Caenorhabditis elegans: one gene and its partner. The protein of the gene in region 2 purifies or fractionates together with the protein of the main gene of each other region. This does not show direct contact. Each region holds a gene or a part of one and is shown on either strand. Other genes may lie near its edges.

Evidence for each region.
Region 1: the proteins of ufl-1 (region 2) and T13H5.8 fractionate together in Caenorhabditis elegans (co-fractionation; one large-scale study listed by BioGRID). This does not show direct contact.

What each region holds. Positions count from the first base shown.
Region 1 is NC_003280.10:8,512,574-8,525,819, reverse strand, and holds T13H5.8 (Lipid scramblase CLPTM1L), read right to left. Parts: upstream 7,311-13,246; coding exon 7,179-7,310; intron 7,136-7,178; coding exon 6,998-7,135; intron 6,950-6,997; coding exon 6,621-6,949; intron 6,577-6,620; coding exon 6,190-6,576; intron 6,149-6,189; coding exon 5,716-6,148; intron 5,667-5,715; coding exon 5,590-5,666; intron 5,544-5,589; coding exon 5,339-5,543; 3' UTR 5,124-5,338; downstream 1-5,123. Other genes in the region: mrps-18B (28S ribosomal protein S18-2, mitochondrial), read right to left, coding at 33-131; prp-9 (Matrin-type domain-containing protein), read left to right, coding at 426-569, 619-777, 845-1,371, 1,423-1,684, 1,744-1,929, 1,975-2,199; cht-2 (GH18 domain-containing protein), read right to left, coding at 2,383-2,552, 2,599-2,959, 3,001-3,549, 3,601-3,670, 3,722-4,096, 4,138-4,235, 4,294-4,401, 4,442-4,533 and 1 more; rnh-2 (Ribonuclease H2 subunit A), read right to left, coding at 7,619-7,881, 7,927-8,155, 8,205-8,512, 8,574-8,667; ctg-2 (CRAL-TRIO domain-containing protein), read right to left, coding at 9,109-9,478, 9,527-9,783, 9,833-9,959, 10,185-10,470, 10,580-10,766.
Region 2 is NC_003282.8:7,033,140-7,038,859, forward strand, and holds the start of ufl-1 (E3 UFM1-protein ligase 1 homolog), read right to left. Parts: upstream 3,721-5,720; coding exon 3,647-3,720; intron 3,452-3,646; coding exon 3,334-3,451; intron 3,333-3,333; exon of another isoform or gene 3,240-3,332; coding exon of another isoform or gene 3,105-3,239; intron 3,050-3,104; coding exon of another isoform or gene 2,990-3,049; exon of another isoform or gene 2,984-2,989; intron 2,492-2,983; coding exon 2,337-2,491; intron 2,182-2,336; coding exon 1,942-2,181; intron 1,893-1,941; coding exon 1,684-1,892; intron 1,639-1,683; coding exon 1,492-1,638; intron 1,436-1,491; coding exon 1,152-1,435; intron 1,111-1,151; coding exon 895-1,110; intron 849-894; coding exon 689-848; intron 638-688; coding exon 343-637; intron 62-342; coding exon 1-61. Other genes in the region: C06G3.3 (uncharacterized protein), read left to right, coding at 2,990-3,049, 3,105-3,239; cogc-2 (Conserved oligomeric Golgi complex subunit 2), read right to left, coding at 3,944-4,213, 4,311-4,395, 4,441-4,689, 4,737-4,853, 4,899-5,302, 5,349-5,720. UniProt on the Caenorhabditis elegans protein: E3 UFM1-protein ligase that mediates ufmylation of target proteins.

The DNA of each region.
Region 1 (13,246 bases), on a different chromosome or scaffold from region 2:
AATTAGTTTAGTTCAAATATATTATCAGTTACCTCTTCTGGAGTCGGAACTTCTTTAGTTTTTCCTTCGCAAGCCAATCGGCAGGAAGAATGAATCAGCCTTCGTGCGAATGATCCCCCAGTGGCTAACATACCTGAAATACTGACTTAGACAACTTTTAAACAATTTAATTATATTTAAAAAGTACAAGCTTATAGCTTTAAATTACAATTAAAAACTTAAAAATAAAATAATATACTTTGTGCGTCAAGTTAAATGCGGTGTACGCAAGGAATGTGTGTTCACCGTCACGTCAAGTTGCACATTTTCGAACATCTTATTTTTCTCAAATTTTTATTCTTCTGTCTTGTTTAATCTTTTTTATGAATAGTTATTCACTAATTTAATATTTTTTAAATGTTTAGTTGTAAGAAAACTTTACAGAAATGGATTCGTGTCTAGAAACCATCAGAAACTTGCACGAGGAACGGGAACGATTAATCGATATAACTGTTAAGGAAAAAATTGCAGAAAAGTTAACGCATAAGGCCAAAGTTAATAGCGAACAGCGAGTGAAAACATTTGTCGATGTAAGAAATAACTGTTATGTTATTTCAATTCAATATTATTATTTTTCAGAGGTACTATTCAGTTTCCGCCGAGCTTGCCAAATTTTATAAAGATGAAGACGGTTCGAAGAGCATGGAAATGGATTCAGTTTCTGGTCCAAATGAGTTCGCCGAATTTTATTCAAGACTGAAGGTCATCAAAGATGCGCACAGAAGAAATCCAGACGAGGTTAGTTTTGTTATTTTCCCCGGAAACAATTAAGTTTGGTTGTAATATAATTTCTATACATTTTCAGCTTGCCGAACCACTCACCGTGGAGTTCCAAAAAATCAATGAAGAAATCATCAACCCTGAAAGAGCCGAGCCAGATATGGTTGAATTCAGTGATGAAGAAGCTTACGGTCGTTTTCTAGATCTTCATGCACAATACGACAAATTCATTAACTTGAAGAACATCAAAAGGGTTGATTACATGACGTATTTGTTGAATTTTGAGAAATTCACAGAGATACCGAAAAATACTACCAAGAAGACAGGAGCATATAAAGAATACATCAATTCCTTAAAAGACTATCTTGTTTCTTTCATGCAACGAACTCGCCCACTCCATGATCTCGATTCAGTTTTCTCTGAGGTTAATCAAACTGTAGAAAGAGCATTTAAAGCAGGGAATCTTCCTGGTTGGGAAGCTGATAAAAACAAGAACGGACCTCAAGCAGCTGCTGTGGATTTATCTCCATACAATAGTGCTGAAGAACTCGAGGGATTGGGATTGGAACGTTTGAAAGGAGCTCTCATGGCAATTGGTCTGAAATGTGGAGGGTGAGTTAAAAATATTTGGATTTTTTAATTGTAGTCCTCGTTATTTTTCAGAACTCTGAAAGAACGCGCTGATCGTCTTTTCGCTACCAAAGGGCATAAACTGTCAGATCTCGAAAAAGCAGCAATGTCTTCAAATAATTCCGATGCCGAAAAGCAGAACGCTAAAAATTTGACATTGGCACAAACGGAAGCTCATATTATGGCACTTGCTGATATTCTAGCTGAAGAACGTACTGGAACTCGCGAAAATGTCGAGAGAAAACAAGCTAGATCTGCTGGAGAGGTCGAAGAAGAGGAGGAGGAGGAAATTGTGGTAGGTTTGAATTATTTTCTCTAGTTATTTTTAGAAACATTTAAAAATTCATTTTTTAGATCGAGGAAGAGGAAGAAATTGATGAGAGTGCACCATATAATCCAAAAAATCTACCGCTTGGTTGGGATGGAAAGCCAATTCCGTATTGGTTGTACAAACTTCACGGCCTCAATCTATCATATTCATGTGAAATCTGTGGAAATCAAACTTACAAAGGTCCAAAGGCGTTCCAAAAGCATTTCAACGTAAGTTCATTATATTGGTCTCGTTCAAAAACTTGATATTTGCAGGAGTGGCGACATTCTCATGGAATGAGATGTCTTGGAATTCCGAATACCTCTCATTTCGCCAACATTACGAAGATCAAAGATGCACTGGATTTATGGAATAAATTGAAAACCGAAAAGGAGATGGCTAAATGGAATCCGGACATCGATGAGGAGTACGAGGACTCCAGCGGAAATGTGGTCACCAGGAAGATGTATGAGGATTTGAAAAGACAAGGACTTCTGTAGACGCTATTTTATGTATTCCATTGTTCTTCTAAGTTATTTTTTTTCCTTTTTAATCTTACATTTCTGTAAGTTTTTAACCAATTGGTCTCATTTTTCAAATTTAATGGATAAACTTTTTTGTAATTTTAGTACAATTGAAATAATTTATCGGTATATACAGTTTCAGATAAGTAGTGAGAAAGTTTAATACTCAAATGCAGGATTTGCCTTGAAATCAGCACATCCTAAACAGCTACAATATTGTTCTCCTTTTCCGCAATAGCCACTATTACTGCAACAGTAGGATTCAGAATCCGGATCACATTTTGGAATTTTTCCAGTAGAAAGTCGTGGAGCATTGTAACCACAACGACCTGAAGATATATTCTTATAAGTTGAATTGAGGGCCTGTTCCCTCACCAACGTTGGCTGGATTCTCAGAAAATGTCCACCATTCTAATGGTTTATATTTGAAATCTCTCTGTTTTGCAAAATCAATACATCCATTACATTCACAATGTTCCTTTGAATTTCCACAGTAACCTCCATTACTACAACAATGAGCATTAGCATCATCTGGATTACAAGTTGGCGCTTCTCCTTCTAAAGGTGGAACATCTCGACCACATCGTCCACGTTTCCCTTCTCCAGCATCCGATGTGTACCATGTGATCTTTTGGCTTGGTTTCACTGGTTCTTTCAAAATTAAATTTGGATCTGCACCATAGTCAATACATTCAGGACAAGAACAGAATTCTGCACCGGAACCGCAATAGCCATACTGCAAAACGGTATTATGAAGCCTTTCACGGTGGTACTAACCTTTCCACAACAAGCATGACCTGGATCATCTGGATCACAAACGGGATAATATCCATCAATCAATGGAGACGATTTTCCACACATTCCAGCCAATTCCTCATTATCATCATATGTCCACCATCTTTTGTCGTCTACTGGAGAACACTTGTAGTTGAATGACTTTGTTGATGTGGTACAAATAGATTCAGCTGCAGCAGAGTTCAGAAGGGTACCTTGATCATCATCAAAGTCAATTGCCCATATCATAACTCCTCCAATATTATTTTCAACTATATAATCAACTTTATGTTTGAGACTTTCAGCATTTTCATATCCAACAAAGGTTTTTTGTTCAGAAAGCCAAATGAATGGGGTTTTGGATCCAGAATGAAACTTGGTTTTTGTAGTATCAAATTTCTCGTGCAGATCTCTCCATTGAACATCTCCACCTTCAAATTTTGTGCCTTCTGAATTAGTTGCCGTAGCAGTTCTCCACATATCATCTGTTGAGTCAACAGCATCACCCACATTCTTCCAGAAACGACCATAGAATGGGACACCCATATTTATCTGGAAGTTGATTAACGGTTACGGTAACTCAAATACCAAAATGTTTCTTACCTTATCAGTTGCTTTTATTTGGCAACTGTAGTCTTTCATCGTGGCATGTACGTTCATTCTTCCAGAGAATCTAAAAAATTATTTCGTTGCTCTTCGCTTCCCCTTACTAATTTTAGCTCACTTTTTCGGCATAGCAAACTGTAATGGTGCTGGGGGTCCAGTGTATGCACCCCATTTCGAAGCCCATGCTCCAAAATAATCATAACTCATAACATTCACAAAATCACAATATTTCATCAATTGTTGTAGATCGTATCCTGGTTTCAAGACCCAATGTCCTGCTGCTCCAGCGAACGATATGAGATACGACTTTCCTGTTTCGGATTCCAAATCTCTCAACTCATTTCGAAGTTCTCTCATCAAGTTTACATAATTCCTTCGATCAGCTGGAGTACCCTCAACAGCACCGCCTGTTACGGGATATTCCCAGTCAATATCAACACCGTCAAAACCGTACTCTTTAATAACTTTGACAAAGTTCGAGATTAAAATTGATCTGAAATTTTATGTGTTTTCTAGATCACGCCTTTGACACACCTTCTAGAGTGATCTGCAGTTAAAACGGAAAAATATTGAGAGTTTTCCCAGCCTCCAACAGCGTACAAAAGCTTGAGATCTGGATGACGAGATGCAACCTAAGATATCAAATATCATTTTAAAAACCTATAACTTTTAAATAGTTTTTGACAATACCTCTTTAACATGTTCCAATCTTGCTTTTGCAGCATCTCCTTCCAACTTGACACTTCCATCTGAATCGACGACGAAGAAGGCGAAAACTAAGTGTGTCAGCTTTTCAGCCTTAATTTGAAAGTGTTAACTGAAAAGTTTATAAAAATACCTGATCATCTCTAAATGGATGTTTGCCCCACGATGTAATATAACCAACTCTTCGTCTTCCACAAGATCGGTCTAGGATTCCACCATTGGACACTGAAATTTTTTAAATATCAAATTTCTTTGTGACCTTAGCGATTAAAACTAATTTTTAGATACTGTTTTATGTTTCAGAGTTGTGTACCTAATTAAAATATAAGTACGCCTGTGACGTCACATTTCTACCATTTGCTATTACATTATTGGCTACGATGAAGACTCCGACAACCCGTTAATACCAAAATAAGTATGAAATATACATAACTGTTTTAATTTGTTACCAATTTTTATCTAAACTTCGAAATGAAGTTTATAATAAATCTGCAAATATCTGGAAGTTCGATAAATTTGCATACCTCCAAAAAGTACAGTAATCCACACAACGAACAGCCACATCCACATCACGAATCTCATTGGCTACGCGGACAAAAATGAAGTCAAGTTCCATTTCTCAAGGAGCTTTTCAATCTCTACACTGTATTCCTGCGTTTATACAAGTTCTCACACTATTTCTCACATTTCTTGTATTTACACGCGCTCAAATAAGGTGTGAAAAGCAAAAAGCAATGCGCCTTCAAACAAGTCCGTTTCGTGTCCATTTACGAAAAAGGACGGCTCTTTCTTATTGGTTGTCCCGCGAGAATCATGATCTACTTCGTTTATTGAGGGAAGCGAGGCTTCCAATTCAGCAGAAATCACACGAACAACAAATTGAACCAGTAATGGCAAACAAATAAATAAACACATTATAATTATTAAAATAAAAACAAGTTTGTAGAAATTTTGGTTTTAAAAAGACTGTATAAGTTACGGTTACAGTTAAAGTCTAGATGGTTTTAATACTTTAAAATCTGAGACTATTTTAGGTTTTTCTAGCAGTTCTCCGCTTGATGGTTCCCGATTCATCTTGTTCTGTGGTATTGCTCTTCTCTTCAACTTCAGGCTCCAGCTTCTCTTTGTTTTTCTTTTCTTTCTCATCACCACCTTCTCCGAATTCGTTGATTCTGGTGTAATCAACTGGATACAGCCATCTTTGGTAGAGATATACAAGGAACACAATATCGTCTCTGATACAAAATTATTATAATATCTTCCTCTCTGAAAGTTTCTTACCTGAAGCAGGCCATACGATGAGCAGTTGGCATGGTTATGACAAATGCAAACAAGTCATCAATAAACGTATTGAATGCCTGTAAATTAGATAGATCTCGATATGAATATTTTGTAATTTTAAGTTACCTTGTACATGAAAGCTCTCCATGGAAGATGTGCCACACTCTTTAACTTGTAATTGACAAACAATTGTGGTAACATAAACAAGAAGCCAAAAGCATAAACTCCATTAGCAGATGTTTCCAGAATCCATGATCGCCATGATTTATGAGGAACGTAAAGTAAGCTATAGATAGCTCCACCAATAACAAGTGGAACTAAAAGAATCGACAGGTACTTCATGGCTTGCGAGTCGATGGAATCAGTTTCGTCTTCTTCTGTTGAGTGTTTTCCGAATTTGATTCCTTTCCAAGTTATTGTAACTTTGTAGGCTATGGTGACTTTCCAGTATTCGATTACTGTAGCAATTCCAGCAGGAATCAGAACAAGTAATGATGTTTGTTGATCGAAAAGATAGAAGAAAATTATTGTTTGAGAGAAGCATCGCCATAGGAGAGTTCTGAAAAATAATCATAAAATGGAAACATGTGCTATTCATACTTTGTAGATAGTCCGACCATTGATTTTCTTCCCTTCCAAAATGAAATATCATTTTTGAAAGCTAATGCATCAAATAGCAAATGTAATGTAGATACGAAGAAAGTAACCATCAAAAGAACAATTGAGGTTTCAGTGAAAAGTCCACGAAGCTCATCAACATCCTTATCTTTAAATCCATGTTTCATGAGCTGGTGGGTCGAACGAGCTGTTGAGGTGAGCAGAAGCAGCTTGGCAACGCTTGTTGGTTCGTAGTTAATGGTCAAGTTTACAGACTTTTGGAAGTCGGCGAGTTCATAGAGATGCTTGCTTCTCATACTCATTTCATCCACAAACATGATTGGAAGGTATCCTTCTTTTTTATCCTGCCGTTGAATCGTCAGAAAGTCACTGAAAACGAACATATATTTTCATAAAATATTTATTGAACTTACGCCAATTCTCCACTGACTTTGGTCTTTACGTATCGGTTCGGTTCAGATACAATTCGTACCGGCAGAATTGTTCGGAAATGTGCGGCCAGTTCAACAACTTTTGACTTGGACTTTTTCGGTTTTTCATCGACTTTTTCTTTGACTTCTTCATCTCCTAAGAGTTGGAAAGTCTTGGCCACTGGCTCTTGAAAAACTACCATAGGAGCCGCTACGTGCACTTTCCATGAAGCTTGCATCGGATTACGACCATCAAATTTATGTGGAAGTAAAATTGTATGTGCATATAGGTAGCCATCTTTAGCAACCGAAGACGGAATCTTCACTTGAAGCTGAAAATAAAATATAAAATGAGGTTATTCTATATTTTAGAAAATTACATCTTTCTGGAAGGCATCGGCAACTTGCAAGTTTTCAACAGTCGTGATAAGTGTCTCCAATGCATCTCTTTTCGTTGAAAAATAGACTCGAAGCTGTAGTAAATCGTACAATCCTTCGTGGTTGGGTTGAACAATTGGCTATAAAATGTTATTATAGTTTTGCCTCAATCGAAAAATTTACCGAATAGCACAATTCGTCAGAATCCTGATCTGTACATAACTCCGGAGTGAAAAGCTTATAAAGTTGAAAAAAGTTGTAGAACATGAAACTGAGGAACAGTGTGCTCACAATTTTTGTCAGGTTTATCTCCATCTGGAAAAATCACTTTTTGAAAGAATTTTTGAGAGATTCATCCAAATATTAATATCCGGTGAAAACGGAATTTCATGATACTTTCATTAAATACAAATCGGAGAATTTCAAAATTTATTCAATGAGTATCTAAGAAAAGTTCACCAGAAAAAGTAAGAGAAAATGAATATACTACAAGTAAATTGAGGTATACAACCAAAGTGATGAAATATTTAGAGGGAGATATGAGGAGATCAGAAACGCGTTAAAGAAAATGGTAAAATAAAAATGAATGGTGATATTGAAAAATGTAAGTATTTCGTTATAATTCAAAAAGTTAGAATATTGCTCATATGTCTTTCCTTGAAGTACACATTTCTTTTTGGTACAACTTCTGTTTCATTTTTCGGAACCATCCATGAAGTCATTCTTTTGCTTTGTGATTTCCCTTCTTCCTCGTCATCTTCCCAACTGCCTGGAACACATCTCTTCTCAACGATAGTACTGGCTGTTTTCCAGGATGATCGAACGAGTGAGCAGAAGCCGAAAACTGGTTCCACACTTAATTGAAGGAACTTCTTTGTGTTTGGATCTGAAAGAAAAATAATAAAATATACTATTCATAAAATAAAAAGACCTCCAGGATATCCACTTCCATATCCAGCATCTGGAACTTTAATATTTTTCTCTCTAAATTGCCAATTTCTCAAACGCGAGTCTCTCGTGACTTTGGCGGCAATGGAAGCTGCACTGACGATAGGAAAAAGTGAATCAGCTTTTTCAGTCACGCAAATTGAAATTCCGGGAAATAATTTCTCGAGTTTGGCTTGATAAGTTGCTTTCGGGCCAACTGTGTCCACTTTGATCTGAAAAATAGTATACCTTATATTTAGCTTGTATATATTTTCAGGAAACCTCCACTACATTCACATTGCAAGCTAGCGCATCTCGAATCAAAGTGATCGCAGCTTCATGGGATACTTCATTCAACGAATACTTTTGTCTTTTGAGCATTGAGCAACTGATCAATTCAGGGGAAAGACATCTGAGAGCATATGCTATGATCTGTTGGATGTCTTCGTCTTCATTCATCTTGTTGAAGATTTCTTCACGTTTCGCCTCGTTCAACGCTTTTGAATCGTCGACACCAAGATTTTTCAACTCTACATTTTGATCAAGTGGGGAAATCGCTGCTGCGTAGACCATAGGACCGAGCACTGGACCTAAAATTTGGATATATTAGATTACTGAATTATCAATTATTGACTATTATTTTCCACAAACCTCTTCCAGCTTCATCAATGCCCAAAACGCACGGAATACCATTCCCGAAATTGTTCCACGTTTTGCTTCGTTCAGTTTCACACTTCAGTGACATTCTCTGAGAGAACAAATATTGTAAAAAAAATAAATATCTATTCATATAATACATTTTGAAGGTTAATTCAAGAAAAAAAGACATTGAAGTGAATAATGACATAAAATAAATAAAAATCGTGGAAATAAAATTCAAATTGTGATGCGGCCGAGCTTTTTCTTTATGGTATGCAGATACGCTCTATTGACAATAACTAGGAAAATTCGGTCGCGAACAACACTTGGACAATATTACTGTACCCCACATATTTATATGCACAGAAAAACTTTCAAACGTATAATTAGCTATCACTAGCACTTTATGACGTCGTTCGAATGATTTTGAAAAATCAGAAATTAAAAAGCAAATACAACAAATAAGCTGATGGATAAAATAAACGTTTTAATAGGTTATGAAAGTATACATTACAATAAATACGATTTTCTAGTGTGTACCGGTTCCTCAAGGATTCCGCACCTCAATAAAATATTTGACAGTTTTAGATCTTAATTTGCTATGAGTATTATCAAATACGAATTTATATACTCCAGGCTCCGCAGCACACACTTCTCCATCTTCCGGAACGAAGTCTGTTTGAAGTTTGAATTTTGGATGCACCATGTAGTCATCGTCATGCTCTGCAACTTTCTCTTCACCTTCTGCTGCTCGAAGAATCGAGAAATTGATATCGTTATTCTCCAGCCTCCACCACCAATAAAGTTTTCTTCCTGGTACATTTCCTTCGAGAGTAATGGGAACAAATGTTGTCGAACGAGCAGAAACGTTGAGTTTGGTAAGCTTCTCAGCTGGAAGATCGTTGGCCGGGTCATACCTAAAAAACAGGATTATTTTTCAAATAAATTTTCCTCTGCAAAATTACTTCAATTCAGCAGGAATCTTGCCACCCATTCGAACATTTCCATATTCAGTTTCAGCCTTTCTAGTTCCACCCCATCTTTCAAATAGCACTTCTTCTCCAATATTCTCCTTCAAATGTTGTTTCCAATCGTTTCCCAAAATCTTGACTTTCTGTTGAGTTTGCTTGGCAAGACATGGCGAGATCATACTCCAGAGTACTTGAATAAATGTTGGTGTATTAACAATAAATATCTTACGAATTACATCAGGAAACATCTCCTGAAATTAAACAATTCAATTTTTAATACGACTAATCTGGAAAATGTACCTGAAGCTGCGAGAGCATGGTAGTCACAACCTTCAAAGCAGCCAAATCAATTTGAACCATTGAAAGTCCGTCAAGATCGAAAATGACAGATGTTCCCAATGGTTTTCCTTGCTCTTTTTCCATTTTTCTGAAAGTATAAGTTCTAATTTTTCATTATTATTACAGTAGTCTACATCTTATTTCGCAACTAATGTTTCTTAATCTCTGGACAAAATATAATTTTCGGGTATTCGATATCAGTGTTCTATTTTTCAATTTTTCTCTTCCGCTATCATATAAGTCACAGAGTAAACAGTATTCCAATCACTTTTGCCACACAGACTAGAGTGACGTTATCTTGAACTACGCATACCTGATAATTTGCATGACTCCTTCACTTTCAGCAATTCTCATTCTGTATAAATCCGAATTTCTTGTGGCTGGCATGAGACCGGCTGCGTCAAGATGTCCAATCATTTGAAGAGAGACCACATTATTCTCATGATCCAATCCGATTAAAGATCCAGGAAGGTATCGAAGTGGAACACTACAATCATCACATTTTTGTGCCACTTTTTCCAGTGTTGAGAGATCTTCTTGGTCAAGTCCAAGTGCATGAATGGCACGAAGTGAGAACTTGATTTTTGGAACCACAACATCTGAAAATATATCTATTTCATTTTACAATTTTTTCGAAATATTTCAAAACCATCATAAAATTCATAAAAAAAACATTTACAGTTTAAACAATATTCCAAAAAGTCTTACCAATTTTTCGATCCCATCCGATTAACCATCTCATAAGTGAAAAATCATCATCATATTCTTTCACTAATTCTAATTCTTTATGAATCCTTTTTCTGAGTTCATCGAGAAGCTTACGATCACTTTCAGTAATTTCTCCAGTACTTGTAGACATCCTTTCACCTGACAATCGTTTTTTGGTCAATTTCATTTTTTTTGCTAGAAGCTGGTGTGAGAGAATAATAAAAAGTTAGAAATATATAATTGTTATCAATGAGAATATGTAAAATGACAAATTTTATCACGGCGCCCGGGGCGAACCGAACTTTATCGAAAATCAAAGAGGATACAAATATCGAATAACACATGACTACATTTTTAGCCGTTTGATTTCATTTTAAGAAGAATCAATTGACACAGAGCATAATGCACAGTTTCACGAAAAAATCGTTGTGTGTACTAAATGAGCACACAATTCATTTGGTGATAAGATGTTTCAGTGAAAAAACTACTAAAAGTATAATGTTTTCATTCTCTGCAGATAAACTATGCACTATTTTGAAAGACTTCATCTTCATTAATTTGAAACTAAAATTCCAATTTTATTTTTGAGAATCAAAGGTACATTTCAAATCTCAAAATTTTGAAACTAGAATTTTGTATATATATATATATAAGTTGAGCTCGCATTTTTAAATTAATTTTTGCACATGTGCACTTTTTTTTTACTAAAATTATGTATTAATTTTTGAACTTGCAACAATGCTTAATCTCTTAATTTCTCAACAAGTCAAAATTGTTCAAAATTTTGGCAGTTTGCCAAAACGGGTTTATGAAAATCTAAAATGTTGTAGTTTAGCTGGAGTCCTTCTGCATTGATCTTTTTTTAATTATTAACTTTTTAAAAAGTGTTACAAAGTCAACGGTAAACTTATACTAAGCATTTGAAGAAAAACATTTATCAAAAAAATGCCACCATTTGTTTTTAGTTGGCATCGTACAGTTTTCCATATAATTGATAACTTGTACGACGAAAAACTGATGATGAAGGACATAGTACAATTATCAAAATAAAAATGGAAAGCAATTTACCATCATTTTCCTTGGATTTCATTCGAGAGAATAATCCCATTTAAATTTTCAAATAAATTTTATTCGTTGAAATGTCTTCTTAAAATGCATAGTTAGCCTTTGCTCGGCCCCGTTTCACGAAAAACAAAAAAGAAAAAAGAAAAAAGAAAAAAGAAAACCAAACTTTTTTTTGAAATCCGAATAGAAAATCGGCTTATTCTTCAAAATGGAGAATCCTTGACAACCAAAATTTGAATATTACAGGATAAAGAGAGACATAGACAAAAAGAAGCCATTTGAGAACGGGCGGTCTCCACCTACCAAAGAGAAATGTTTCGAGAGAGAATGAGGGGGAGAGAAAGAATAATATTATAGTAACGATAAGAGAGGAAAGTATGCCTGGAAGAGACGGAGAATAAGTTATGAACATGTTTCGAAACCTTTTTTTTGGAAATTTGTCACTTTGTTTCTGAAATTTAAGCCAATAATTTTTTAAATCAAAATTGATAATTAAGATGGGACATTGAAAACACGAGGATATCAGATGTTTTATATTTCACTATATTATAATTTCAACATCTACATTTTCTTCAAAATTATCATAAACTGCTCCAAATTGTCTTGGAAGTAACAATTTTACATTTTATTTAATGATCAGCATTTGGACTGATCTTCTTTAAAATTAAGCTGTTTGATTTTTGATAATTTAATTTTCTGTAATTTTGAAAGATAACAATACGGAAAGGAAATTTACTACCAAAAAACAACTATACAACCAAAATTCCTGACTATTTCTATCAATTTTGAGATAAGTTGGAAAATTCAGAGTTTTAGGTTAATTCTATGCATTTCAAAAACAAGTGATGCATGGAGAATCTGCCATATTATTCCACAGTATTTTTTTTCGCTAAATATAAGCGAAACAACGATCACATCAACAGGGAAAATTCCTTACTTTGGAAATTTACAAAAAATCAAAATTTTGCGTTTATAAAACACAATTTAAACGAAAAACATGAGACTCTAGTAATTCTCCGATCGATTCTCTTCGGGAAGCAAAGGACTGTCGGGTGTTGTGGCGGAAAGGAGCAAATACTGTCTTTGCCTGCACTCTCCTTTCACTACGAATCTATTCCCTCCTGCTGAACACAAATACACACATGAGACTTTGTTTCTTTCCGTTTATTTTTCCCGGACAATTAGTCTAGTCTAACAGGCTCGTCTTGATAATTTGTGTGAAGTGGGATAAAGCACAAAAGACAGAAATAGATGTAAACTTGAAGTTGAGAATTTGAATAAACCGACTTAAAAAAAACATAAAGATTAATCAGAGAAACAATTCCGCCTGTTCTGAAAACTGAAAAACCGAAATTGTCTAATCATTGATAAGAAAGCGACTTGACCCGGAAAGCCTTCTTTATTGCAAAACAAGCCAGCTTTCAAGGCAGGTTTCGGCCGGTAAGTACGCCAACAGGACCAGTTACTTGCTCTGAAGTTAGACTACAGATAAATAAGACATTCAAACCGTTATAATAACTGTTTCGGGAAACCAAGAAAACAAAGAACGCAATTTTCAAAATTAATGGTCATTCAAATGACTTTCTGCAAGATTTGCGGAAA
Region 2 (5,720 bases):
CTCCGTTTGAGAACAAAGTTGCTCATGAAGTTCCGCTGTAATTTTAGCTCCAACTTCGGCTCTGAAAAAATTTGTTTTTTTTTAAATTTTAAATGTCACTTTTTTTCTAAAAAAAATATACTTGAAATTGTGAAACAATTTCAATTTCGATCAATAATATTTAAAAATTGCAAAATTATTCGTATTTCGCTTTTTTTTTCAAAAAATTCGAATTCAGCCCTGTTTCCAGCAGCTGCGACAAATTTTGAAATTTAAAATTTTAGCTTATTTTTTTCCAAAATTTTAACTCACTATAAATAATTTTTAGATATTTTTTGGAAAGAATTATGAAAATAATTTTACCTTCCTTTCTTGTCGACTTTTTTCAGTGCCAACGAAGTTGCACTTGGAGCCGAACAATTATAAACAGCATCATGAAATTTATCCAAAGCATCATCATCTGTAGATTTCAGCGACGCAAACACTGATCGAATCGGATCTCTGAGCATTTCAGGAAGGTTTTCAATTGTTTCTTCTCGCTGTTTTTCCTTCAATTGGTGTGCATTATCTACTCCCATAACATATGAAAGCAACGCCAATGCAATTTCATTTCCAACTGTTTTCAGAAGATATTGCCGAAGATCTGAGCCAAGGGGATCTGAAATTCAAAATAAATTATTTTTCTATTCAGTTTTAAAGTTTTTTCTACCAGCAAAAGTGGAAGTAGCCGTCTCAAATGTGTTAAATGAATCGTAAAGTTGTCTACACTTATCGCCGATTGCAGACAATGACTTTTTGGAATTAGCGACGCTGGCAACCAATTGATGTGCTTGAATGTCTTGAACTTTTTTGCGAAGTAGCGTTGTTGTCTGAAACATAAAAATTATTTATTTCTGAAGAATCCATGAGATGGACCTCTTGATTCAACTTTTCCACAATTACTGAAAGAATTTCTTCGGGTACTGATTGACTTTCACGAAGCCATATTTCCAGTTCCTCACTATTTATGGAAATATTCGCCGACAAATTGGATGAAGTTGAAGGAGCAGACGATTTCGAACCACCTTTCACACTTTTTGCGTTTTTCTTTCCTCCTTTTCCACCTTTCTTTCCATCTCCCCAGTCATCCGTCTGAAAAATTAAATAGTTTTTTTTCAATTCAATTTGTATACCTCTTCTTGAACTTTCACTGCTGCCTTGGCTCCGCCTTGTTTCTTTTTCTCCGCTTCTAATCGATCAACTTCCTCATGTGCTCTGACGTCCAACAATTTGTCAATTGAACGCAGAGCTTCAGTCAAAACTGCTCCCTTGAACACAAAACCCTCTGCAAAATGCGAATCTTTTTCCACATTTGCAACTTTTGACCCGATTTCATCCTCATCAGCAGTATCTAGAGGAAGATTTAGAGATTGAAGAGCCAAATGCACGTCGGATATTCCGCTTTTTTGTAAGTCTTCTGAAAATTTAAAAATTCAATTAAGTAATAAAATTCAAAACAATTAAACAAAAAACCTTGAACAGCATTAATACATTGATCCATGAGTTCTTTTGTCATAAACATAGATCTCATACTGACAAGTTTTTTGAATTCAGATGATCCAAGAACTTCTTCGAGAGCTGGTTTTGCATCTACTCCTAGAGTTTTTAGAGTTGAAATTTCTGGAATTTAAAGAAATTAAAAGATAAACAAATAGATGATCATACCTAAAAATTCATTCTGTCTATATTGATTCAAAACGCACGACTTCACAAGATGATCGTACATCATTGGACGATACGAGCAGGAAGGTGATGTACGAGAACCGATTAAAGTACCAGGAATTTCGCCGAGAGATTGAAGATTTTCGAACGCAATCCAAAATCGTTTCGGTGTGAGACCAACTCGTTTTTGGATAGTTGAAATAGGAGTGATTCTGTTTGGAAAAAACATTATTTGAACGGCAATGGAAAACAGATTCTCACTTAGTTAATGCAATCAGAATAGCGCGTAGAACCAATTGTCTGGCATTCAAAAATGAAGAAGTATAGATCGTATCCCCATCAACCACTCCTTGAAAATCAGAAGATCCCAATTTTTCGATTAGCAAGGATTGCAAAAGTTCCGATGATAGATTCCAGTGCTTGCAGAGTGCTGCAGTTGTTTGATTTCCTTGCTCATCGAGAAGTGTACGCAATTCGTTACGAAGACGATGTACGTATTCACTGAAAATTTATATTTTTTGAGTGTTCAATGAACAAATGATTTTGTCGATTTGCAATTTGCAATCGACACGTAACAATAATGAAGTCAATGTGTTCTTCTTTGTTCTTTTCCGAACTTTAGGCCTATCTAAATCACGTGAATAAACTTGACCTACGTCGCGAATATCTCTGCATTCGAAATTGTAAATTCATCATCAGTCGAAACAATCAAGCGCGAAGTCTTCTCGATATGATCGAAATCTATGTTAAGAGCAACTGCGATATCAGTGAGAGAAGCACGTCCTCCAGCGGCTATGCACTCGTTTTTTATCTGAAAAATGGATTGATGAACTTGAAACTTTGGAAAATATTCAGCCTGTGTAATTTTCCAATTATTCTGCCAAAATACGGTAGCCGGTCTCGAAGCGACATTATTATCTTATACACAAAGAGCAACGCGCCTTTAAAGATTACTGTAATTATTCGTGTGTAGATAATATTTTCCAGATTTTCAAAACGTAAATGACACATTTTTGCTTACAAATATTTATTTAACTACTTTTTTCTGTGATACTTTATAATAAAAATTAATTGTTCTTCTTTCATATTTATTCCTAACCGTAAATTTATCCTCAATAACAAATCGAAAACCAAGGCTGCTGTCAAAATGAAAACATGATCACATGTTTTGCTGCTTCCAGTTTATTCTGTACTCACATTTCTGCATTTGTGTAAACATAAAAGTTCATTGCGGTCAACAAAAAGGCGGAGTTTGTGAGAAAAAAAAGAAAGAATAGATAGACATTTTTATTTTCTCAAACACTCAACAATGCCCAATCCATCTCCCGCAATTCTAATGCCAAAGTCTATATTAAAGAAACCTGATCAAGTGAGCCTAAGCTGTTTGGAATGTTAGTATTCTTTTAAAAAAAAGGAAATTTCAGAGCCAACACGAGTCACCATCAAATTCTCCAGTTTCTCCATCACCCCAAGAAGTTCCACGTGGCAAAAAAGAATGGTGGCTTCCATTTAATATACCATTTCATAATGAGATTTTTCGAAAAAATTCAGGGTTCTGAAATTTAAGAAACGACTACATATTGGTCTCATCTACCAATATTTTACTTTTATTTTCATTTTTTTTTTTTGAATAAAAAATTTCTGCCCTCTCACCTCAGTTTCCAAGTGGTTTTTAGTTACATAACTATGCCCATCTCTAGTATAGACCACGTCAATTCGATGAGAAGCGATAAGTTTTTGAAGGACTTCAATGCAATTCACCTCGGAGAGCCTTAAAGAATAATTTTTTAAAATTATTCTACAATTGAGAATTTTAGTGAAAAATTGTTAATACAGATGAGATAAATAATTAAATTTTTGATACTAAAACCTTATTAATTTTTTGTTGTTTTTAGGGCAAATGGTGTATGTGCTATCATTTAGTATCAAATATATAAAATGGCCAAGAATCAATGATATTTCTCACTTTTTAGATGATTGTGACAGTTGAACTCTCTGCAAATCTGATGCAAGTTTCTGAATATCTGCCCAGGAAGTCATCTGAAATATTTACCACTTTAATATATCAAATGAAAAAGAAAGAAAAAGAAATGAATCGATGGATTTTTAACCGAACTTTTAAGAAAGTGAACACAAATACGATGCTATACACTTTTTATTCCAATACCATGAACCCATATTAAGGCAATAGACGATTTTAAAGACTTCAACCCATTTGTTAAAATAAAATGTACATGTAAATAAATAATCACATAAAATTAATTCAAGCATTCCCCGCTTCTTCGTTCTGATTTTTCTCTTGTACAATCGCCGAACGTGCATCTTTGTCAAATCGATTGACGACTTCTTGTAATCCGGTGAGATCAGCTTGTGAGAATACAAGATTTTCCGCATAGCTCAGGAAATATTTAGCATCATGATAGATTTGTTGTTTGATTTTATCGTCATCAGTAACCGTGGAGCCAGAATCAGTTGTGGTTTTCCGTTTGAATCGGGATAAAGAAGATCCTGTAGCTTCGACACTATCCAGCACCTGAAAACAAATATTTTGTTGCAATTTGCATCAATTGGAGTGGTTTATAAACTTAGCGGGAAAAAAAATTATCTCATGTGTCCAAAATAAACGTTACCTCGTTCCCTTTCCCCACGAAATAATTGAATGCTGAAAGATTAACTTTTCGAACAATTTCATCGGTGTGAGGATGTTCTTCGCAGCTGAAAAAAATACGTACAAAATTTTGTGGAAGCAATATAAACTACCATAGTTTTTCTTTCAAATTCTCAACCATTTCAATAGCTGTAACAACATATTTGGAATGCGTTGTCGGTGGTGATTTCTTCGTCCATCTGTATTGTTTAGGAACATCGGAAACTTGAGCAATTTCTTGATGAAGAACTTCGGAGAACATTTCAATAATACTATCATCAATTTGAACACAAAGACTATCAATTGATCGACCATGCTTTGTTAGGCATTGACCGAATGGAGCGGTATCCACTGTGATATCACTGAAAAAATGATATCTAAATGTAAGTAAGTATTTAAATAAACGAACTGAAATTTTCCCCAAATTGACTCCAACGCGAAATCGAAAACCAATTGATGAAGATTTCCAGTATCCGAGCGGAGAGTAACCATTGAAGTCCAATCTCTTTTTTCTTCCATGAAATAACTAGAAAACAAAATATTTTTCGTGAAGAAGAACTTTTAATCTAACTTTTTCATAGTTTGACTCCACGAGAAATGCTTTAGCAAAAGCTTCAATGTGAAATCCCATAATTTATCAACAATAGGAGGAAGATACACATCATCACTCCACACATGCTCAATTGCTGTTATAATTGCTCTTGAAACTCCGCAGTGCAGCTGAGGAGTGTTTTCTCGATTTTCAGAAGTTTCTGGCTCGGCAAACATTTCGGGAGACATCAGCTGATCGCACTGTTTTCCGAATCGATGTGTTTCTAATTTAAAATAAACTAATAAATTGAATTTATCCCTGATCGACTTAAGCATTGCACGGCAGGTATGAGAAGATGGCCAATTATCGATAAATTCTTGAGTGAGCAAGAAACATTCATGGAAAAGTCGTGTGTCACTTGGGACTGCGACGGCTCCCATACACTGAAAATACAAATAATTATGAATATAAAAAGTTATGAACGGAAACCTTATCAATAAATGTCAGAATGAACGTGAGAAGGGTTTCGTCCAGAAAACGGCGGATGTTTCCACGAAAATGTTCAGTCCCCATTTTTTCAGCCCAAGTTTCACGCATTTTTTTGACGCTTTCGAAGACTTGTTTCAAGAGTTTCAACTGATTACTTTCGTCGTGTTTCTCATTTACAAATTCGGCATACAAAAGATCAGAAACCAAGAGGGCAGTTAGTGAATGCGTACTCTCCGTTAACGATAAAATTGAATAAATGAGAGGAAGATTTTGACAATCACCGGCGGCACTTCGAACTCCTTCTGCACAGAGAACCGCTTCCAGCTGAGATAGAATTATCTTTTCAGCGGCATTTTCCTCTTCCGAATGGGG